Linked DNA regions of Caenorhabditis elegans. The protein of the gene in region 3 purifies or fractionates together with the protein of the main gene of each other region. This does not show direct contact. Each region holds a gene or a part of one and is shown on either strand. Other genes may lie near its edges. The genes, in order: dgn-1, T07F12.1, cpg-2 and Y43F4B.10.

The links.
Region 1: the proteins of cpg-2 (region 3) and dgn-1 fractionate together in Caenorhabditis elegans (co-fractionation; one large-scale study listed by BioGRID). This does not show direct contact.
Region 2: the proteins of cpg-2 (region 3) and T07F12.1 fractionate together in Caenorhabditis elegans (co-fractionation; one large-scale study listed by BioGRID). This does not show direct contact.
Region 4: the proteins of cpg-2 (region 3) and Y43F4B.10 fractionate together in Caenorhabditis elegans (co-fractionation; one large-scale study listed by BioGRID). This does not show direct contact.

Annotation. Positions count from the first base shown.
Region 1 is NC_003284.9:10,925,478-10,931,209, reverse strand, and holds the start of dgn-1 (Dystroglycan 1), read left to right. Parts: upstream 1-2,211; 5' UTR 2,212-2,314; intron 2,315-3,390; exon of another isoform or gene 3,391-3,595; intron 3,596-5,732.
Region 2 is NC_003284.9:4,891,909-4,897,654, forward strand, and holds T07F12.1 (Steroid-phosphate phosphatase), read left to right. Parts: upstream 1-2,146; 5' UTR 2,147-2,152; coding exon 2,153-2,253; intron 2,254-2,297; coding exon 2,298-2,416; intron 2,417-3,417; coding exon 3,418-3,516; intron 3,517-3,579; coding exon 3,580-3,690; intron 3,691-3,733; coding exon 3,734-3,862; intron 3,863-3,990; coding exon 3,991-4,283; 3' UTR 4,284-4,723; downstream 4,724-5,746. Other genes in the region: T07F12.2 (PA domain-containing protein), read left to right, coding at 1-84; T07F12.4 (Protein kinase domain-containing protein), read right to left, coding at 4,852-5,061, 5,185-5,354, 5,402-5,544.
Region 3 is NC_003281.10:7,101,255-7,106,211, reverse strand, and holds cpg-2 (Chondroitin proteoglycan-2), read left to right. Parts: upstream 1-2,221; 5' UTR 2,222-2,225; coding exon 2,226-2,292; intron 2,293-2,335; coding exon 2,336-2,677; intron 2,678-2,720; coding exon 2,721-3,407; intron 3,408-3,453; coding exon 3,454-3,729; intron 3,730-3,773; coding exon 3,774-3,976; 3' UTR 3,977-4,122; downstream 4,123-4,957. Other genes in the region: ZK418.11 (NR LBD domain-containing protein), read right to left, coding at 4,287-4,531.
Region 4 is NC_003281.10:13,312,190-13,315,813, reverse strand, and holds Y43F4B.10 (uncharacterized protein), read right to left. Parts: upstream 1,747-3,624; 5' UTR 1,743-1,746; coding exon 1,689-1,742; intron 1,629-1,688; coding exon 1,486-1,628; intron 1,377-1,485; coding exon 1,247-1,376; 3' UTR 1,093-1,246; downstream 1-1,092. Other genes in the region: dph-7 (methylated diphthine methylhydrolase), read right to left, coding at 261-355, 401-680; slc-36.1 (Amino acid transporter transmembrane domain-containing protein), read right to left, coding at 2,664-2,795, 2,862-2,968, 3,495-3,558, 3,611-3,624.

The DNA.
Region 1 (5,732 bases), on a different chromosome or scaffold from region 3:
AATTATTTATCTGAAGTTCCGCAGGATCGGAAAAATTATGAGCGTAATTCCATTAGTTAACTAAATACAACGAGAAATTAATTTTTTATTATTGTGAACCGACCAAATCATATTATTTAAACGTTTCACTTAAATTATCTTCATTAGTGGTCAATACAGGGACGTGAGCCTCATGTGGTCGTTTTTAGCCATTGTGACCATTGGCTATTTTCCTCTCATTCCACTTTTCTTCTTTCAAAATTGCCCCACTATTCATTTGATACTCTACAATTATTATTCTCATCGTTGCAGTCTACGAATCGGATCATATAATAGTGAGACATTTGGTCAAACTGGCTTGGTCCTCGTTTTTTACTCGCTTCACTCGGAAGGTCATTTTGCTTGCTTTTTGAATGCAATTGCAAGAAATATGAAACTATATCTTTGAACCACGCAATCTTTTTTTTTGTTTTGTTTCTGTTAATTGATGACCTTGAAGAAGTATAAGAATCTTTTTCAAAAGGTATTATTATGCAGTTATATCTAAACTGTAAATTTGAAAATTCAAAGTATCTCATATTCCTATATGTACCAGTAGTTTGTATTTTAAATTTCCAATTCAAAATTTTAATATGGAAATGATGTAAACACCATTCCGATTTTATTCCATTATTTTTCTCTCAATCTCTCACTCTTTTCAATTTTACTAGAAAACAGATTTTTATTCTTTCGAATAGAAAACCCTCTACCGTTCCTGACTCACCATTCTATCTCCTCACACACCACTTTCTACGACATTGCCTAACTTTTTGTGCGTTAAGTTTAATGTGCATTTGACCTTTATCAGTTACTCGTGTCCTCTTTCCTGTCTTGATATTTGATTTCAATCACCATCGAGTAATTAGTGTATTGGACACACATACCGAGAAACCACTAACAAGAAACGCCCTGATTTTATTTTTCCTTGAATAGCAGGACGGATCGTGTTAAATTCTAAATAACGTAGGACTGGAAAAATCACATTTTTATGACAACAGGGACTTTGTCGCAAAATTTAATTAGTTCTACATTTGGCCAGGACAATGATTACCGTGGCTTTATGATCAACAACATCTAGCGTGTCTTATCAAAAGCAAAAATTGTTGGAAATCCTAATTTTCTGTTTTGTTAGACTCTATTTTATTTCTTTTGAAAATCCATTACCGTTTTATGTTTTGAATAACTTCAAAATCAAACAAAACTACAGATTGATATTTGCAATCTAATATCTTCGTTTAAATTTCAACTTTTTTAAATGTGCTCTTCGAAATTAGTAAAAAATTTGTTTTATATATTTGCAAACTTCATATAGATATGAAAATATACATATGATAAAATGAAAATAGCTGTATTCCCTTGCCACGCATATAGACGGCGCATTCAAAAACTCATTGCACTCTGGTTTTTTTTTCAGAATTTTAATTACAATGGGGGTTATATTTCATGGGAAGAGCCTTTTTGAAACTCACCGCTTTTCTTCGCTCTATTGATATTTTTGATTTCCCTCTGCGTATGCAGAAAATAGTACAAACCACACTGACATTCATTGTAGTAACTCTAACTTTTATGCCCAAGAAAAGGCAAAAAAATGGTAAGAAAAACGTTTATGAAAGCTTTCTGTTTACCTACCTTGACCATTTTCTCTTTTTCCCCTATCCTCCAACGAGTGTACACACATTTTCGGGTATAATTCATCCGAATGGTTGGTGACAAGAAAAAAAAATGCTTCAAACTGTGTGCGTATGTTTTTCTTGTCAAAACCACATTCATAGTGTGTTATCAACAAGGAGGGATGCAACAAAAGAGAAAGCGAATTTTCCAGGTTGCATTCTTCATTTCGTACTTGCTATCTCTTTCCTCTGATAACCGTTTTTTCGGCAATTTCAATACCTCCTTGATTATATTTATGAGGTATGCAACTGACAGTGTTTCTTTTTCTCTTACGATATTTATTTTCACATCAAAACTATACACATTGCTAGCTTTTTTATTCTTTTTTGAAAAACCTATATTCATCAGATCTCAGAAGTTCCAATTTGAAAGTTTCTTCAATATGTACATTATCGTAAATTAGTCTGTCAACTGATACAAATCGCTTTTTGCCAAGTTTCAAAAGGACACCCCTTTTTGAAGTTTTCCGCTCCATTTCATGTCTTGAACGTATATGTTGCAAAAGTTACTTTCGATTTTCAGAACGACAACGTGTATTGAACCGAACTTGTGATTAGAATCGAAAACGAAATTTCAATTTGGCGCACCCATTTTTTAGTCCCGGCTTATTGATAAACACATAGAGGTGAGACTTTTTTTAATGCCAGTTTCGAACGCGTGCCCGGAAGTTTTTCGAGGCATTAAAAAAATTTTCCTATGTAACTAAACAATTCTTTTAGTCTTATAAAATGTTTTACTAAATCTCGTTTCCTGATATATGTAGTTTTGTACACAGAAAACGAGATGTTTTCTTTTGTATTTGCCTGAAAAACTTATTCTGCTTCTTGGCACAAATCCAAAAAAAGCGGCGTCATGTTTGTGCATTCAAAAACACTTCAAAGGTGTACGAAGCCACAAATGTTGTGACTACTCATATGTGTACAGAGATAGGTGTTTCAAAAAAAATTTTCGTACGACTTCAGAGTGACGTCCTTATTTTGAAACATTCACTTAACTCGAAAACATCCTGGTTTTTAGGTATTATATGAATTGTCTGCTAGTTTTTTTTTTTCGAAAAACCGAGTTTTTTCTCTAAATAACCTAAATCTTAACAAAAAATGTTGTTTTCCGTTCTTCACGTTTTTCGGTTTTTCAATTTTGCGGTGTGGGTCAAAAAGCCGAAAAACCCAAAAAATCGAAAAAAAATTAGGGTCCAGTTTGAAAAAGTGCAATTTATGTATGTTGTTTGTATGAAATAGGGCGTCATCAGTAATAAAAATATTGCATTCTGTATAAAAATACCGATTTTGGAGTGTTTTCAGAATTTGTTTTTGCAGTTTTCTCAAAAGCGAAAATTTCCGTTTTTCAGTTTTTTGAAGAACCAAAAAATCGAAAAAAGTTTTGGCGCACATAAAATGTTTTGTTATTCTCAAAAAATTTCGTCCCTACTAAATTTTACTCAACAATGTTCGTCTTCGCAATTCTCAAAAGAAACAAAGTGGCCCAAGATCTTACGTCAATCAAAACATTCAAAAGACTAGAATAAGAAGGCCCACTGTTTTTATAATCTTGTTTTTACACTCACTTAGCAAATCCGGCACTCTTTGTTCGGTTGCTAATAAGGTGTCAAAGTGACAATTGAAACCCCTCTGAACTGACTCAATAAAAGATAAGATGGAAAATAAATCGAATCTCCGTTTTCAATATGTTTCGGTCGGTTTCTTCTATTTATATGCAAAATTCATTCGAGACACCATACCAAAAGCTCCCGTGGGAGCTGGCCTTCTTATGTCGGTCGGTTCATGGTCCGTAGGGAGTGTCGGAAGGACGGAAGACCACGAAGGAAACGTCTTTGTTTGTACGGATCGCTTATTTATTATGCAGATTGAATATTGGCCACCGCTTCGTTCTTCATCTGTGTTCGGCTTTATTAGACTGCTCAAATGTTGCATGCCATTTTCCTCCTCCTCTCTCTTCGTAGCCGTAACGTATCGCATGTCCATTTCTGATTAGCTCTCGTCATCCGTTCTTCTTTCATCCTTATAAATATCACCATCCGTCTTGAATTGACCAAGAAAAATTGTAATTGTTCCAAACGGACCCGCATTGTACGTCTGAACACCCAGTCATTAGGCTTATCTTCCAATCGTTGCCTCCTCGTTTGCTCCATCCTGCACACACCTGGCCACAGGTACGGTGACGCAACTTTATGAGGTTGAGCCGACCAAATAGGACCATCTCCGTCCTTCCCCACATTTTTCGCCTCTCACTTTATATGTTTGGTCAACAGGGCTTGCCTCGTGCTTGACCCTACCCATACGCACAACTTTCTCTTTTTTGCTGAGGAAACTTTTTTGACGCGGGGTTTTTTACTCGAAATCTACGCTATCCAAATCTGATTTCTGTCCAAACGTCCTTGTCCATTCCTTGACTCTTCTCAATTTGATGATATGTGATGGAATCGTGCCCCCATTTGTGTGCCATCTCTTCAACGCAGGAGCTCTTTTATGTCGTTACAAGCATCTGCTTCAACGCGCGCAGCTGCACACAGTGCCATTTCTTGCCCTCGTTGTCGCGTCAAAAGTATTGCACAATACGGATAGATTACATAAGGAAATCTGTATTCAATCAGATGGTTTACGATCTGCCCGGTGGTGAATAGATATTTTCAACAGCTTATGAGAAAATCGGCTCCAAATTAATATGAATACGGTCACATTGAATAACTGAATTTATGATCTAACATTTTGAATTAACTAAATTTGCACTTCTCTGATTATGCTTATATAGTTTAAAGATTTTACCGCAACATTACAAACTTTTAATCCTCTAGTCTGATAATGATTTATGTCCGCTTCATTGTGAGCGACCAAAAAACTTTAGCTTGTTCACAGGAGTGTGCTTCAGGAATTTTTCAATTAATCTCTTGTGATATCACTTTCTTTTTTTTTGCTCTTACACCAAATATTTTTTTGGAAAAATTGTCAAAATTGACTTAATGGAAGCTGGTGGCTGAAAAATATTTGAGGAATGATTCATGATTTACCGTTTCATTTTTTTATTAAAAAACAAAAGTCTAATACTTTTGGTTCCTGTCAACATGGGGATCCGGACAATGAGAATGAGACGAACGCGCTGACTACTAGCAGTCGAAGTACGAAACCAGAACAATAGGCGTGTTAGTCTCAGTTTTAGCAGTACGTTTTGTCTCCGGTGTTCCCGTGTTAGAAGTGTATACAATTACCCTTTGCACAGTGGCTGTCGATTCAAGCAATTCGAGAACGTTAAGCCAGGTAATCCATGCCTAATAGATGGCAAACGGCACCCATCATCATCCTCATCGTTCATTTAATTAGCACGTTCGTTTCATCTTCAATACGTTCCTCACTGGACGTTAATCCAACCAATTTCGCGCACGGAAAGGTGTCAGAACAATGAACTGAGACGATCATTTCTCACTGGGTTTTTGTGTGTTCTTTTTGTGAAATAAGGTAATCCTCAGTCACAGGTTGTCAACGGAGCACTAGTGTCAGTCAAATGTACACCTGCTCTCATTTTTCTCTTTCTTGTGTCACCATCTCGTCTCACGTCTTCAATCTTTTTACCTTCCGTATGTCCCACAGATTCCCAGGATTACCGCTCTCGACGACAATTATGCGATCTCGAAAATGTCGTGAGGGCATTGTTAGGCATATCTGAACAGCCTCAGTCGGTATTACCTTGTCGACGGCGCGCATCTTCGGAGAACAGTAAGAACTATATTTTGCGAGTTGTATGGGCCGCCTTTCGCCTAATTATGCTCGTATACATCGTTCTAATTACTATAATTATATTGTATTCCATATTTTATCCAAATGGCTAGTAGAGTTCTATACCCTTTCTTTTTATTATAGGAAAAATTGATACTTGAGAAAATGTAATTTAAAACTGAAGTTACAATAATATTTAGAAAATTAGTTTTACTCCTGCTCAAAATTCAACAATTTGAAAAATAAAAATATTTTATCTTCATAAATAAATACTATTTATGACTTGACTTGAAAAACGCATTCATCTACCCAGAA
Region 2 (5,746 bases), on a different chromosome or scaffold from region 3:
GTCGAGAGGAACTATGCACCATGGGTTCATCACCAGAAGAAGGCTCCATGGGAGATTTGGCCAGATGAGGACCATTACTTCTAAATGAATCCTCTCAAAGCTTTAATAGTGACAGTTCAATTATCATTTCGGTTCTTTCTAATTTTGTGTTGTGATTTCCGACGTTTTGCCTACGGTGTCCCCATTCTGTCTCAGCTTTCCTCATTTACATGTCATTTTTGCATATTCTTTTTTTTATTTTTTTTTCTTCACATCAAAAATCTGGTTGTAACCTAATATTAATATTTCGTTATTTCTCTTTCACATACTTATCCTCCCGAGACATTGGATTCCGTATCGCCCACGGGTTATTCCTCCCCATTGGTTTTTCCCATTCCCGTTGTCTATGACAAAGTTGCCATTACAATGAATTTTTCAATATGTATGTTTTGAAATGGTGTAGATATGAGAAAATGGAACACCAGTGTCCTATGCTCTTTTCACTTTTTGTCATTTGTCAAATGCGGTGTGGCTATGGAGCACCACAAGCACTAGAGAAAGTTTTTAATTCTTTAGGCAAATAAAACTCAGCAAGTCGACCGCTTTCATTGTCTTTTTCTTCCGTTTCCTCTCACTGCTTTATATATCCATCATCCATAGTTAGTGACATAGAAAACGGTTTTTGACAATGAGTCACCGAGATTTCAAATCGTATTTCTTTTAACAGTGCTGCATTGGGATTTTACTTTAGTTTTTTTTAGTTATGTTAGTTGTTTTCTGAGTTTTTTTTAATTTCTATGTGAAACGGGCTTTGCAAATTTTTCAGACGCTTTTCTGGAAAACCTGATTTTGCCCTAAAGCCCTAAAATTTGATTCTTTTTGCGTTTGTTGATAATATTTTTAACTGAACAAAAGTCGGAAAATTTCACAAATTTTGAATTAACGCACACAGTATTAAAAAAAAAATTACAAAGTTATTAGAGCTCAAAACGCTGAATTACCAAGACAGTGCGCTAATTATTACGAGAATTCATATATAAGGAAAAAATACGGAAATAAAAGTTAATTGTGTTCCCATCTGATAACTTTTACTTTTCTTGAATAGTTTACATTTTTAAAATAGTTATTTTCGACAGAGTAAAAATAATTTCCCACTTAAATATTTTTTTTCAAAGTTTGCCTTGCTCAGCATTCATAAATAGATAAAAATTGCGCAACTTTTTCGCAAACGAAATAGGTTGAAGATATTAGTTGCACCCTATATAATTTTTGTGAAAGAAAAGTTTCGTAAAACCTTATTTAATTAATTAATTTAAAAAACATTTCCAATCAAATAATAATTAAACTTGCCAAAAATATTCAGATTTTTCAAACTTGTCGTGAAAGTTTTGGTAAATTTGGCTTTTTAAAAAAATTTTTAGAATCCAAACTTTCTGAATGCAAATAAAACTTTGTCAAAAATATTTTGATAACTATTTGCTCATTTTAGTACTATAAAACGGTTTTCTTTGCGTTTAACATGTTGAAATTTTGTGATTTTGCGAAATAAACAACTCAAAAAATAATTTCTAAAAACTAGTCAATTCAAAATATTTCCCACATTGGCACTTCCATCAAAAAAATGTCTTTTGAATTTGACTCAATTATGTTGCGCTCGTTAGATTTCGGTTTCTGTTCAACACACACCATTTTTCCATTTTAGCGAGGTCAAACCAATTTTTCGTTTCAAAAATTTTGATGCTTTTACTTTTACTACTACGTTTTATTTTGTGACAGACAGTTGCAAAGTGGAAAAATATGTCTCTTATCACTCGTTTTTGATTGCGCTATTATATGTAGGTTTAAATTCTATTGTTCACAATTAGAGCGTGCGACGGATTTTTATTGATCGACCTTGAGGTTCTGTCAATTGTTTGAATTGTGTCTTATACTGGTTGTAGAATTTGCTTGTGAAAGTTATTGGCACGCATCCAAATTCAGGTTCGATTCCACTGTTTTCTCCGTCTTTCTTTCTCTACGTTTCTTCAGCAATCATCACTCTCTAGGCGCTTGCGCATCTCTATTTCTGTTGTTTCTCCTATCGTATTTCTCTTTTCAATTTCATTTCATTTCATTTTGCATATGAATAATATTATATAAATATACTTTTCCATTTCGTTTGTATTCCAGATAAATGCCCGAGCGGAGAGTGTTCATTATCCGTCATGGTGAAAGATGTGATTTTGCATTTGGCAAGTCAGGACTTTGGATCAATTCATTTGACAGCAGAGGAAGGTAAACGTTATTTTAAGCATTCTAGAACAAGTTTAAGTCTGTAGATATCGCCCGCTTGACATCAATCTTCCCCGAACTCTTCCAAAACGTGCCGATGGATGGCAAGGTTTTGCTGCCGACACCCCGTTGACTGAAATTGGTTATCTTCAATCAAAATTGACAGGTAAACTGAAAATTTGCAATTTATTTGCAAAAATAACAATTACAATTTTCAAGTTTATTTCAATAATTTAGATAGATTATTTTTTGAATTTCATAACAAATTAAGTTGTTTGAAATTAAACCAGTTGCCAGTTGGAAAATTGTTTAGAGCCATAGCAATTTGATTTAGGCTGTTTAAGAAATCTTTGAAATTTCCTGAAAAATCAAAAAAAAACCAGCAATTTCCAAAATGACCAATTTTTGAAAAACAATTACTGAAAGTATGCAATTTTTACATTTTTAGTTTTTATAAGATCTCGAAGAGTTTTCCGAAAAAAGTGATTAACAAATAACTACAATTGCGAATTATGCCAAATTCAATTTTTTAAGTTTCGAAAAATTTCGGCAATTTCGGCAGCTAAAATTTTTGACCGCGTACCTTTTGTTTCACAGTTATCATAGTTCTGAAATTCAACTTTAAAAACATGTTTCTGCAAATTTTATATTCCAATGCAGTTTCATTAAATGTGCATTTTTATTCGAACTTATACAAAACGTCATTTCATTTGAATTTTGGCTATTGTCTTGTACAGAAAAATGTTGAAAAATATGGAATTTGTTTAAGAGCTTTAGTTGGTTATATTGAATAATTATAAGAACTATTAAAAAACAAATCATTATTAAATGCTCAAAAACACAGTTAAAATTTGAAAAACTTGAATTTATTTTTACATATGTTATTCGAGAAAGTTTAGGTATTTTTTTGAAAATGTATTTCAATTCGCACAACGTTTAAATAAAAATAATTATAAAAACATTTAAAATTACAAATTTATGAAAGATTTTATAAATCGTAAAAACAAGAGCTTATACTGTTCTTTGGTTTCTTTTCCACATCATTTCTAATACTGTACTGTATTTTAAATAGTTTTTTTTTTCAAAAAATAACTTTATTTTCAGTCAGAATTTGTCTAAACTATTATCTATTATGTTCTTCATCAACAAGACCTATTAATTTTTCAGGACGAGCATTACGTGACAATGGAATCGAAATCAACCATGTTTTCTGTTCCCCGGCTTTGAGGTGCATCCAAACAACAGTTGGTCTATTGAAGGGAATGGGTACGTCATGTTTCGATGTTTCCCGCAAGACAACTGACATCACTTAAAATAAACATGTTCTAGGTCTTGACAAGCGAATTCAGTTTTCCGTTGAACCTGGGCTTTATGAGTGGATGGTATTTGCAAGGTACGCAAGACCATGCTGGATTCCGCCAAAAGATTTGAAAAAGCTTGGTACGTATGCTCGGCGTTTAATTCCAATACTAAAAATGTTCAGGCTACCCTGTACAAGAAAACTATGTACCATGTTGGACGGATAAGGAGCTTCGAATGAATGAAACCTTAGCAGATTTCTATCAAAGATCGTTTGGTTCTATAAACAAAATTTTGTCGGAATGCACAGAAGGTGATTTCTTTTCTCAACTTTTTGACACTAGTGATCAATGTGTATTTCTCGTGATTTTCCTGTCTATCACCCTATGAACTTTCTAGCTTCTACATCTCATAAAACGTCACGTTAAATGTATATTCCAGGAAACATTCTCATTGTGGCTCATGGTGCATCACTCGAAACATGCACTCGGCAGCTGGTCGGCGGTGATATCAGATCAACTGACGATTTCTACTACCTACTTCAAAACACACCATACTTGTCGTGTGTAGAAGTGAACTCTCGAGAAGGATTATGGAGACTAGTGGGCAGCCCGATTCCGTCGTTTTCACACACGTACAATCGCACTTTTGATCCATTGCAGCTCGTCACAAAAGATTTGGCCTCGCTGAAAAGAGAACGAGAGGGAAAAGACAATATGAGGACCACTCAATAATCTTTTTGATAATTTGTAAGCCGAATTAATTTTTCTACGGTTCTGAATGCTAACATTTTTGGCGGGAGTTCTTTATTCGAATTTATGTAAATTGAAAGTCTTTAACTTTGAGCCTAACTTTTTATTGCCAGTGGGAATATTTTTCAAGTTTGCTTTTATAATGCTAAAATCTTTTTTAAAAAATATTTGAAATGACTCGATGTGGAAAATTTGAAAATTTACCATAATTTTGTCTGAAAATTTTTTGAAGATGTGTTATAATATTTAGTCAGTTTGGTCTATGGTCTCAACTGACGGTTCTCCGGCCTTTGATTAGTTTGGTTTTTCTTCAGTTTATCACCGACGTTGTTCATGATCTCAACTTTCTCCTGTTTTTTTATTCGATTCATATTCAAATTGTTATACTTTCAACTAATAAATCATTTTATTCGACAATCAATTAACATTCTGTGAACTTCGAAACCCGAAATTTGTTTTCTCTTTTCAAATATATTTCAATGATAGATCTACTTGTAGAGATATGAGATAACTCTTTGTAATGGTTAAACATTTAAAAAAAAAGGATCGGCTAACATATTTGTTGACTCCAGTTGATTGCTTTGTCATAAAACTGAGTAGGTGTGCATCTTTGAGTGGTATCGAGCTGCAGCAGTGATTGAATAATCCCCGAAACCTCTTGACTCAGCTCGTCGGGCAGCTCAGGCGGGTCGTAGGCGTCGAAGTTAGCCCCTGCCACATACAGGAAGAGCTTACACAAACTGCACTCATCGAATGGGACCTGCAAAAGAAAAATTGTGAATATGAAGTTATCTACGTCATTCTTCCACTTCAACTGCGAAGCCCCTGGGGAGTTATTTGCGTTTTTGTTCTTGGAAAAACTTTAGGGTTCGGAAGGACTAACCTCTCCTGTAACGCATTGGTAGAGAAGGCATCCGATGCTCCACATATCAACTTTTGAGTCATACTGACAAGTTTTTAAAAGGTTCGCTCCAACTTCTGGAGCCATGTAATAAAATGTACCCGCAACGTTGCACAGCTCTTCTCCCTCGTTATCAAGGGTTCTCGAAATTCCTGAAACAAGAAATGAATTAAATTACGTAATGAGTTCCAAAACACACCAAAGTCTGTGATCCGAGCACAAGCAATTTGTTTCGATGCATCTGTATAAGTGATCAGTATGTTTTGGGGTTTAATGTCCCGATGTACAATTTTCAACTCATAAAGCGCTTTGTATCCTCGGGCAATGTTGTCAAGAAGAAGCCTGAAGTGATTTCTGTTTGAAAGTTGTAAAAAAGTTTTGAGGAAGACATGCTGAAACTTCCTTATCCTAGCCCTCTTCCCTAGTTCCTGTTCCGTATTCTCTACTATTTACTTGAATCAAAACATGTTTGTGTGTTCCCCCCCCCCCCCCCCCCGTTCCCCAATCTGTAATGCAAAGAAAAGAAATGCGAGAATTCCAAATT
Region 3 (4,957 bases):
GAGCCTCGTCTTAGTCTTCGTGAAATGGAAGAGAAGCTTGAGTGTTGTCATAGCACAATTGCATGTCACTTGGGTCGCCTTGGTTTTACTTCAAAACTTGGAATTTGGGTGCCTCATGAACTTTCGGCATCACAGAAGCTCACTCGGGTCAACGTTTGTACTCAACTTCTAACTTTTCGTCGAAAGTTCGATTGGCTGAACAATCTGGTTACTGGAGATGAGAAGTGGGTGCTCTATGTTAACCGTTCCAGTTAACGTCAATGGCTTCCGATCGGTGAGAAAGGAATACCGACGCCAAAGCCTGATCTTCACCCAAAAAAGATTATGATCTGTGTCTGGTGGGGTGTTCAAGGACCCGTGCACTGGGAATTGTTGCCAACTAATAAAACTATCACTGCTGATTACTATTGTGCCCAATTGGACCGAGTTGCAGAAAAGACCAACGGAAAATATGAAAAACTATATTTTCTTCACGATAATGCTAGGCCTCATGTCGCCAAGAAGACTTTCCAAAAGCTGCAAGATCTTGGTTGGACTGTTTTACCGCATCCACCATATTCTCCAGATCTTGCACCAACCGACTACCATTTGTTCTTGTCTCTCAGTGACTACATGCGCGACAAGCAATTCGACGACGAAGAGCATCTCAAAACTGAACTCTCCACTTTCTTCTCATCGCGTTCGCCGGATTTCTTCTCCCGTGGCATCATGATGTTACCTAGTAAATGGCAACAAGTGGTGGACACTAATGGTGAATACTTGTGTGAATAGTACTACTTGTCGCTTGAGAGAAATAAATTTTTTTCAAAAAAAAAATAGTACAAAAACTTATGGGACAACCTGATATTAAATAGAACTGTATATTGCCACTCCATGTCCCCAAATGATACTGTTATCCAAAGAATGACAGAATGTGCAAAAGTGGTAAATAGTAGCTGGGACGAGTGAGGGGCAAATTGAGCAGTTCGTTCATTCCCAAGCTCATAAAAAGGAAATGCGCACCTGCAGATCTCTGCGCCTCTGAATGGGTACACGGTCTTTATAAGGTGAACCTAATCGAGAGAGAATTTTTATTATAACTTTTTTTGTGTTTTTCGAAATTGAAAATTACTATGAAACGGAAGGAAACTAAGGGGATAAATCGAATGTGAGCATATACAGAGAAACAGAGGAAAACTCTCGATGTGGGTTACTGTATCAAAAAGTATCCAGAAGGTCATCTCTCTCGTCGGCTTACGAAATTTACTTTAAAATTGCGGGGAATTGTCAATTCACATATAATAAAAAGAAATTCGAAAAAAAAACAGTGCAATTTTGCTGAAAACCAGAAAACTACAAAAAAGTGGGCGTGGCCTAGAAGGGCATTTGAGTTTTTTTGAACAATTGAAAAAAAATTAGAAAATATTAAAACTTTTGTAAATTTTTAACAGTAATGTTCGGAGATTGACCTATTTTCTTTAATTTAAAGAAAAAAGCCAAAAAAATAACTCGCTTGTTCAAAATCAGATATGAGCTCCCAAAACTTCTGTGAAGAAATTATAATCAAAAGCTGAAAATATCTGGAATAATTTTATATAGTTATCAATTTTTATTGTCACGCAACATTAGTATACTTTTCACACGAAACGGGTGTTTTTTTTGTGAAAAATGCATGTATTACTTGTTCGCGAAAACTTTTTTTTCAGTGGGGTAATGAAGTCGATTGCTGATAAGAGAAAATTCCTTGGAAGTTTGGACATCTAATTAAAATTAAATATTTAATGTTAATTTTAACAGATTGATGTGAAATTTGAACACCTGAAAGTTAAAAATTGCACTAAAAACAAAAAACAATCAAATTTCAAATTTCGCGCGTCAATTTTTGAAGCGCAAACAAACGCGCTCCAGTGCTCATTTTTCAGTTTTGTAATTTTGAAAACATGATACTAGGCTTGTATTCTTCCTATTTTCTCATATTTTGATCTGTTTTAGCATTTTTTGACCTCCGGCGGGAAAATTCAAATTTTTGTTTTGTTTTGTTTTTATTTGTTTGCCAATGGTTTCGAAATTATCCAGCATTAGTCATTCATTTCATTTGTTTCAGTTGGTTTCTTTGTCATACGATTATTCTTGTGAGAGAATATCGTGCATGCAAAGTAGTTTAGTATTTTCTTTTATTTCTGACACTACCGTTTTTAAAAATTCAACTCTTGTTCTCTTTTCTTAAAGATCTTTATTTCAGGAGGATGAAGACGGTTGCCGCACTCACACTCCTGGCTTTTGCCACAGCTGCCAATGGACAGTTCCTTCAAGGTGCGAGTTTTGTCCAGATGCTTTTTTAACATTGACAATTCAGACTGTACAAACGCTCTCGATGGTCTTTACGCTCTTGGTGAATGCGAACCACAATTTCTGACTTGCTCGGGAGGTATCGCAAGAATCATGGATTGCCCAGCTGATCTCATCTACAACGAGCCACTTCTTATCTGCGACTGGCGCCACAACGTGATTGGTTGCGAAGGATCTGGAGAATCATCTGGTGAGACCTCAGGTGAAGGATCTGGTGAATCTTCCGGTGAGGCGTCTGGAGAAGGATCCGGTGAAGCATCTGGGGAAGGATCCGGCGAAGCATCTGGAGAAGGATCTGGTGAAGCTTCTGGAGAGGGTTCAGGATCCGGAGAGGAGACAGTCGAAAATGGTAAGTTAATTCAAATCATTCATCGATAAAATGTTTTTTTCAGTTTGTGAGAATCTCGAAGACGGGGCCTACTCATCAGGTGGTTGTACCACTTACTACTTCTTCTGTACAACAAACACGGCCCGTTTCCTCAGTTGCCCAACTCCACTCTTCTACGATGCTGATTCTCAGAAGTGCATCTGGAAGTCTCTTGTCGAGGAATGCAAGGAAGACCTGACCATCACCGATGGATCAGGGGAGACTTCTGGTGAAGGATCTGGAGAGGCTTCTGGAGAAGCTTCCGGGGAAGGATCAGGTGAAGCATCTGGAGAATCTTCTGGGCAAGGATCAGGTGAAGCTTCTGGGGAAGGAAGTGGCGAACTCGAGCCAACATGCGAAGGAAAAGCTGACGGAATCCATCCAAATGGAGTTTGCTCAACCAACTTCCTCACTTGCTCTGGTGGAATTGCTCGCATCATGGACTGCCCAGCTTCTCTCGTCTTCAATCCAACAATTCTTGTTTGTGACTGGCCACGGGACGTCGCTGAATGCGCTGGACTTCCAACTCCACAGCCAACATGCGAAGAGGACGGATACTTCTCATTCGGACAATGCTCATCGTCATTCACTGCTTGCACTAACGGCCGTGCCATCGTCATGTTCTGTCCAGCAGGACTCAAGTTCTCCGAGTCTACCGTACGTTGCGACTACGAGTCCAATGTTTCCGAATGCCAAGAGACGTCGGGTGAAGGTACGATCGTTTTTTACAGTTTCAAAATTTTATTATCTTTTTTCAGAATCTGGAGAAGCTTCCGGTGAACAATCTGGAGAAGGATCTGGAGAGGCTTCTGGTGAGGCCTCTGGTGAAAGCTCAGGAGAGGGATCCGGTGTGGAAGAGCAAAATCAATGCGTTGGACTGGACAATGGACTTCATGCTATCGGATGCTCTCCACGTGTTCTCTCTTGCCAGAATGGACACGTTGATATCTTCGAGTGCCCATCCAGCCTGGTTTTCAACGATCAATCTTTGATCTGCGATTACCCACAAACATCGTTGAAATGCCTCATCGAAGGTGAATTTGTCTCATAAATTAGCAACCCTAAATGTTTATTTCAGACACTATTCTCATTGATGAGACTCCAATTGCTGCATTCGACTGTTCCACTGACGGCCTCTTCTCCGATGGCCTTTGCTCTGCCACTTATCATCAGTGCACTGCCGGACAACTCATTAACTTCACTTGTGCCGCGAGCAACGCCGTCTTCTCAGCTGCCAACACCGAGTGCGTCGACTCATCGACCCTGCTTCAATGCCATTAATTGTACCCATTTTTTTTACAAAATTACACACTAATTGACTAACCCCGTGAAAAACTATTGCCCCCATAGAGGCCCCATATTATTGTAAACTTGCCTGTATATATTGCATTTTTCATATTGAGAAATGAAACTGCCTGACTAGAACTCTGAATCTTAATTTTTTGGCTTTCATGAGATGCTGGGTGATTACTGTAGATGATCTTTTATTACTCGAGGAAAAGTTTGAGGGTTGAATGAATAACAATGCAAGTTTGAAAAGGGGTGGGTACCCACGTGGGATAGTTTTAGATGAAAAAGTGCCACTCTAGCTTTAGAGAGATTCTTTGACAAGCTTTCTCAATGGCAAAGTGGGTTGGTTCAATTGGAATAATGTAAACAGTTGTGCAAGATCTTCTATTGTTTTCTCGATCAGCTGACTCAGAAATATAATATTTAAGTATCTTATTCGTCCGTGTTTTTGAAAACGGAAGTTACAGTTAATACCAAGTGTAGACAGGTAGATGCTCAGATACTCCTCAATAATTCGTTTCGCAGAGGAACCAACAAGCATAGAAGCTGAAAAATATTGACGTTTATGGTTAAATACAGAGTACTAGTTGTAAGGGTAATTTATTTATTAGATTACTGCGTTTTTTTCACTTCTACGACTTTAAAGGGGACGCTTTTATGCGGAATAGTCTCGACACGCTCCTACACTTTTACACTTATACTGTATTTATTATATTTATTAGGATATCGCCACGAATATCAGGTGTGTGCCTTTAAAGAGGTACTGTAATTTCAACCGTTTATTGCTGCGGAGTTTTTATTGATTTTGTATTGTTTTCTAGAAAATATTTTCTTTCCCTTTTGTTAAAGTGTATATGTTTTTATTGTTAGATTTGAGTTTTCAAAAACATATTTTTATTGTAAAAATAGGAAAAATCTATGAAAATTCTGCAGCATCAAAAGTTTGAAATTACAATACTCTAAAGACACACA
Region 4 (3,624 bases), 6.2 Mb from region 3:
AATGTGGAACACATGCTGAGATGTTCTATCCAACCCCCGCTCACTCCGAAAAAGGTGGCAGAGGCACTGGGCCTCCCCACCAGAACTTTCGATCCAGGCGGATCTCAATGATCCAAGGACCTCCACGGATCCATCGCGGTGCTTTGCACCACTACTACTACTACTACCCTGGAGGAACTCACTGAGGCATGGACGCCCATGGCGCCCTTCTGGTGGTGCTTTGCACCACTACTACTATAATACCGGCGAGATCACAGTACTTTGTTGTCAGTTGTAATAGTGAGGGAAGAATCCGAAAGTCCCAAATCCAAAAGCATATCCGACGATACAGGTGTAGTTTCGGATGATACAGGTTCTGAAAATCGTCCTGCTCATTTGAAATCTCAGGCACAATTCAAACCTTCAATTTTCTGAACCACTAGTGATCCATCGGTTAGCGCTGCAACTATCGTCGACGGATTTCGGAAATCGAATCGAAACACTCCAGCAGAAGTGCTAATCTCATTTTCCAACTGTAGCCCGTCGGCTTCATCAATCTTCAAAATGCACAGTGAGCCGGATCGAGTGTCTGAAGATGTATCGAGAAGATACGTGGATACGCAAGCACGTGATGTGTCCTCTGATGGTATCCGACGAGCAAATGCTGGGCGATTTGACAGCTTCACACTTTTTGATCGCATTTAAATGAGCTCAAAAAATTTGTAATTTTGAAAATTTACTAAAAATGCGGTTTTCAAACGTAAAATGTTTCAATTTTTCGTCAAAAATACGGTGTCCGGTCTCGACACGAAACAATTTGTTGTTAAATGCGAAAAGGTGTGCGCTTTTAAAGAGTACTGTAATTCCAAAATTTTTCGTGATGTGGAATTTTCATCGAATTTTCAGTTTTTTAGAAATAAAGTATTATTTTAACGAATAACGTTAAGAAATCGATAAAAATTTTACAAAAACCAAAGTTTGAAATTACAGTACTCTTTAAAGGCGCACACTAGTTTGTATTTAACCAAAAAATTGTCGTGTCGAGACCAAATACCGCCGTTTTGGCTCCAAAACCGCCAAATTTCGAGTCTATACATTGGTGAACTATTGAGATTGGAATAAGACACATATTCATGGAAAAAATATTGGGAATAATTTAAAACCCATGAGGATCGTGATGGAAATTATAGCAAAAAAATTAAAGTTTCCAGTTTGCAGGAATGGTAAAAATAAATACAATTTGAAATACATATATAAAAAAGCAAGATTAATTCTTCGAGGCGGCCTCCGATGATGTCTCTTCAGGCTTCGGAGTCTCTGATTTCTGCGCAACTCTTTGTGCTTCGATCGCAGCGTCTGCCTTTTTTTTGTCTGTTTCGGCCTCTTGTTGACACGCTCTGCAAATGATTTTTTTTCTCTCAATTGATTTCTCGATTATGACGATCAAATATTTGATCGACACTTATAATTCGAGTGGAAAATCGACGAAAAAACTCAAAAACCTACCTAATCAGAACTTTTGCCGCTTGAATATTCCTCTTCAACCGTTCACAGGTCAACTTATTGAATGTATATGTTGGACGAACGTCTTTCCCGATTTCTTCGATCAACTTGAGCAGAACTTCGTAATAAGGAGTGCCTTCTTGCATCTGAAATCATTATTTTTTCAATTAAAATTGTATATTTAGATTTTTTTTTAAATATTTTACCTGAAGATTCGGCACAATTGAGATAAGCGTTTGAAGATCTTCTTGTGTCGCCATTTTTCTAAAACAAAATAGGTTGAATGAATTACTGCGAGAAATCAATAAAAATACAGAGAACGGGAACACCACCGTTCTCTGCGTCTCTTTTCAAAACACGTTTCAATGGAGCACATTTGCTTTAGGATTTTGGCGGTTATTTTTACGATATTTTTTTTTGAGAAATCGAAAAACCAAACAATTTTGTTTTGTCGAAATTTTGAAAAAAAAAAGGATTTTTGGAAAAATATAATTTTCCTCTTTTTAGAGAAAAACTATCTGTTTCTTATGATTTGTTCTCATTAACATAAATAAAATTTGATAAAAAATAGTTTTTTTTGTTAATTTTCTAAACATTTTTCCAATTTTTCGGTTTTCCCGGTCTCGCCACGGCAAATATTGGTTAAATGCGGAAAAGGTGTGCGCCTTTAAAGAGTACTGTAATTTCAAACTTTTGTTGAAACGTACGGAATTTCATGATTTGCAGCAACACAAGTTTGAAACTACAGTACTCTTTAAAGGTGCACGCCCGTTTGTATTTAACAAAATATTGTCGTTGTGAGACCGGGTACCGTATTTTTAGTGTGAAAATTGCAAAATTTTGCGGCTGGGTAATATAAAATTGAATCGAGATATTTAAATAAATTGGTTAAAATTGATACCACATTTAAATAATATTTCAAAAAATTCGATAAAAAATATTCACAGAAGCTCGAATTTTATTAACAAAATAAATAGTACATGTTATTCGGGAATGAAACGAAAATGAAAAAAAAATGCCGCAAAAATATGAAAAAATCATCATCACAAATTGAACAACCGACAAGGAAGGACACGAAATATACAAAAAAAAATTCCAAAAAATTCCATAAAGGTGCAATAAAATTCTGGGAATTTCCAGCTAAAACGCTGAAAATATTTAAATATTATAGATATTTAAATCTATGCAAAAGTTTTTGCAATTTCGATAAGTGCACTATAGGTTCCCGTTGTGAATCCAATAAAGGCAAAAGTGAGAAGAACGATATTTTTGATCCATAATCCAGTGCTCAACTCGTTTTTCGCGTAGGATGTCTGAAAAAAATTCAATTTTTTTCATTTTTAATTAATTTAAAAAAATTGGAATTCAAAAATTCCTACCAAAAGTTCAATGCACGGAGGGAAGAGAAGAGCCATTGAAGCTCCAGAAAATGCTCCGATTAATGAGATGAAAAGAGCCAAATGAGGAATAAGCTCAGCTATTGCACCTGGAAATTTTTTTTCAAAAAATTAGAAAAAATCAGTTTTTTTCTAAATTTTTATATAATTTTTTTCTCGTCTAAATTAATTATTTGATATCAACCTGAAAAAAAACCTTTGATTTTTATGTGCAATTTTTATAGTATATTTCCAAAATGTCTCAGAAAAAGTCTGGATTTACCGAAATTCTCTCAATTTTTATTTCATTATCGATTTGAAACACAATTTTCTGCGAAAAAAGTTTAAATAAATGTATAATTATCGATTTTTAGACCAATTATTTTATTTTTTTGATCAAAAATGTCAGAAAAAGTCTCAATTTACCAAATATAACTGTTTAAAAATTTATTAAAATTTTCTAAATTTGTTATGATTTTTTTCTAAACTTATTATTTGATTATTATTTTTGAAACACAATTTTTCCGCAACAAAAAAACTTAAATTATCGATATTTAGGTCAATTTTAGATTTTTTTAAACGGAAAATGAAAAAAAAAATAATTTTTGCGAATAATATTTTTTTTTTGAAACTTACAAGTCAAAATAACTCCGGAATATCTGGCAATGTAGATGTACAATGTTTGTTTATCGACGGGAATCTGAAATTTTGAAGAATTTTGACCAATTTTCATGGAAATTTCTCCAAAAAACCTTTCTAGTAATCC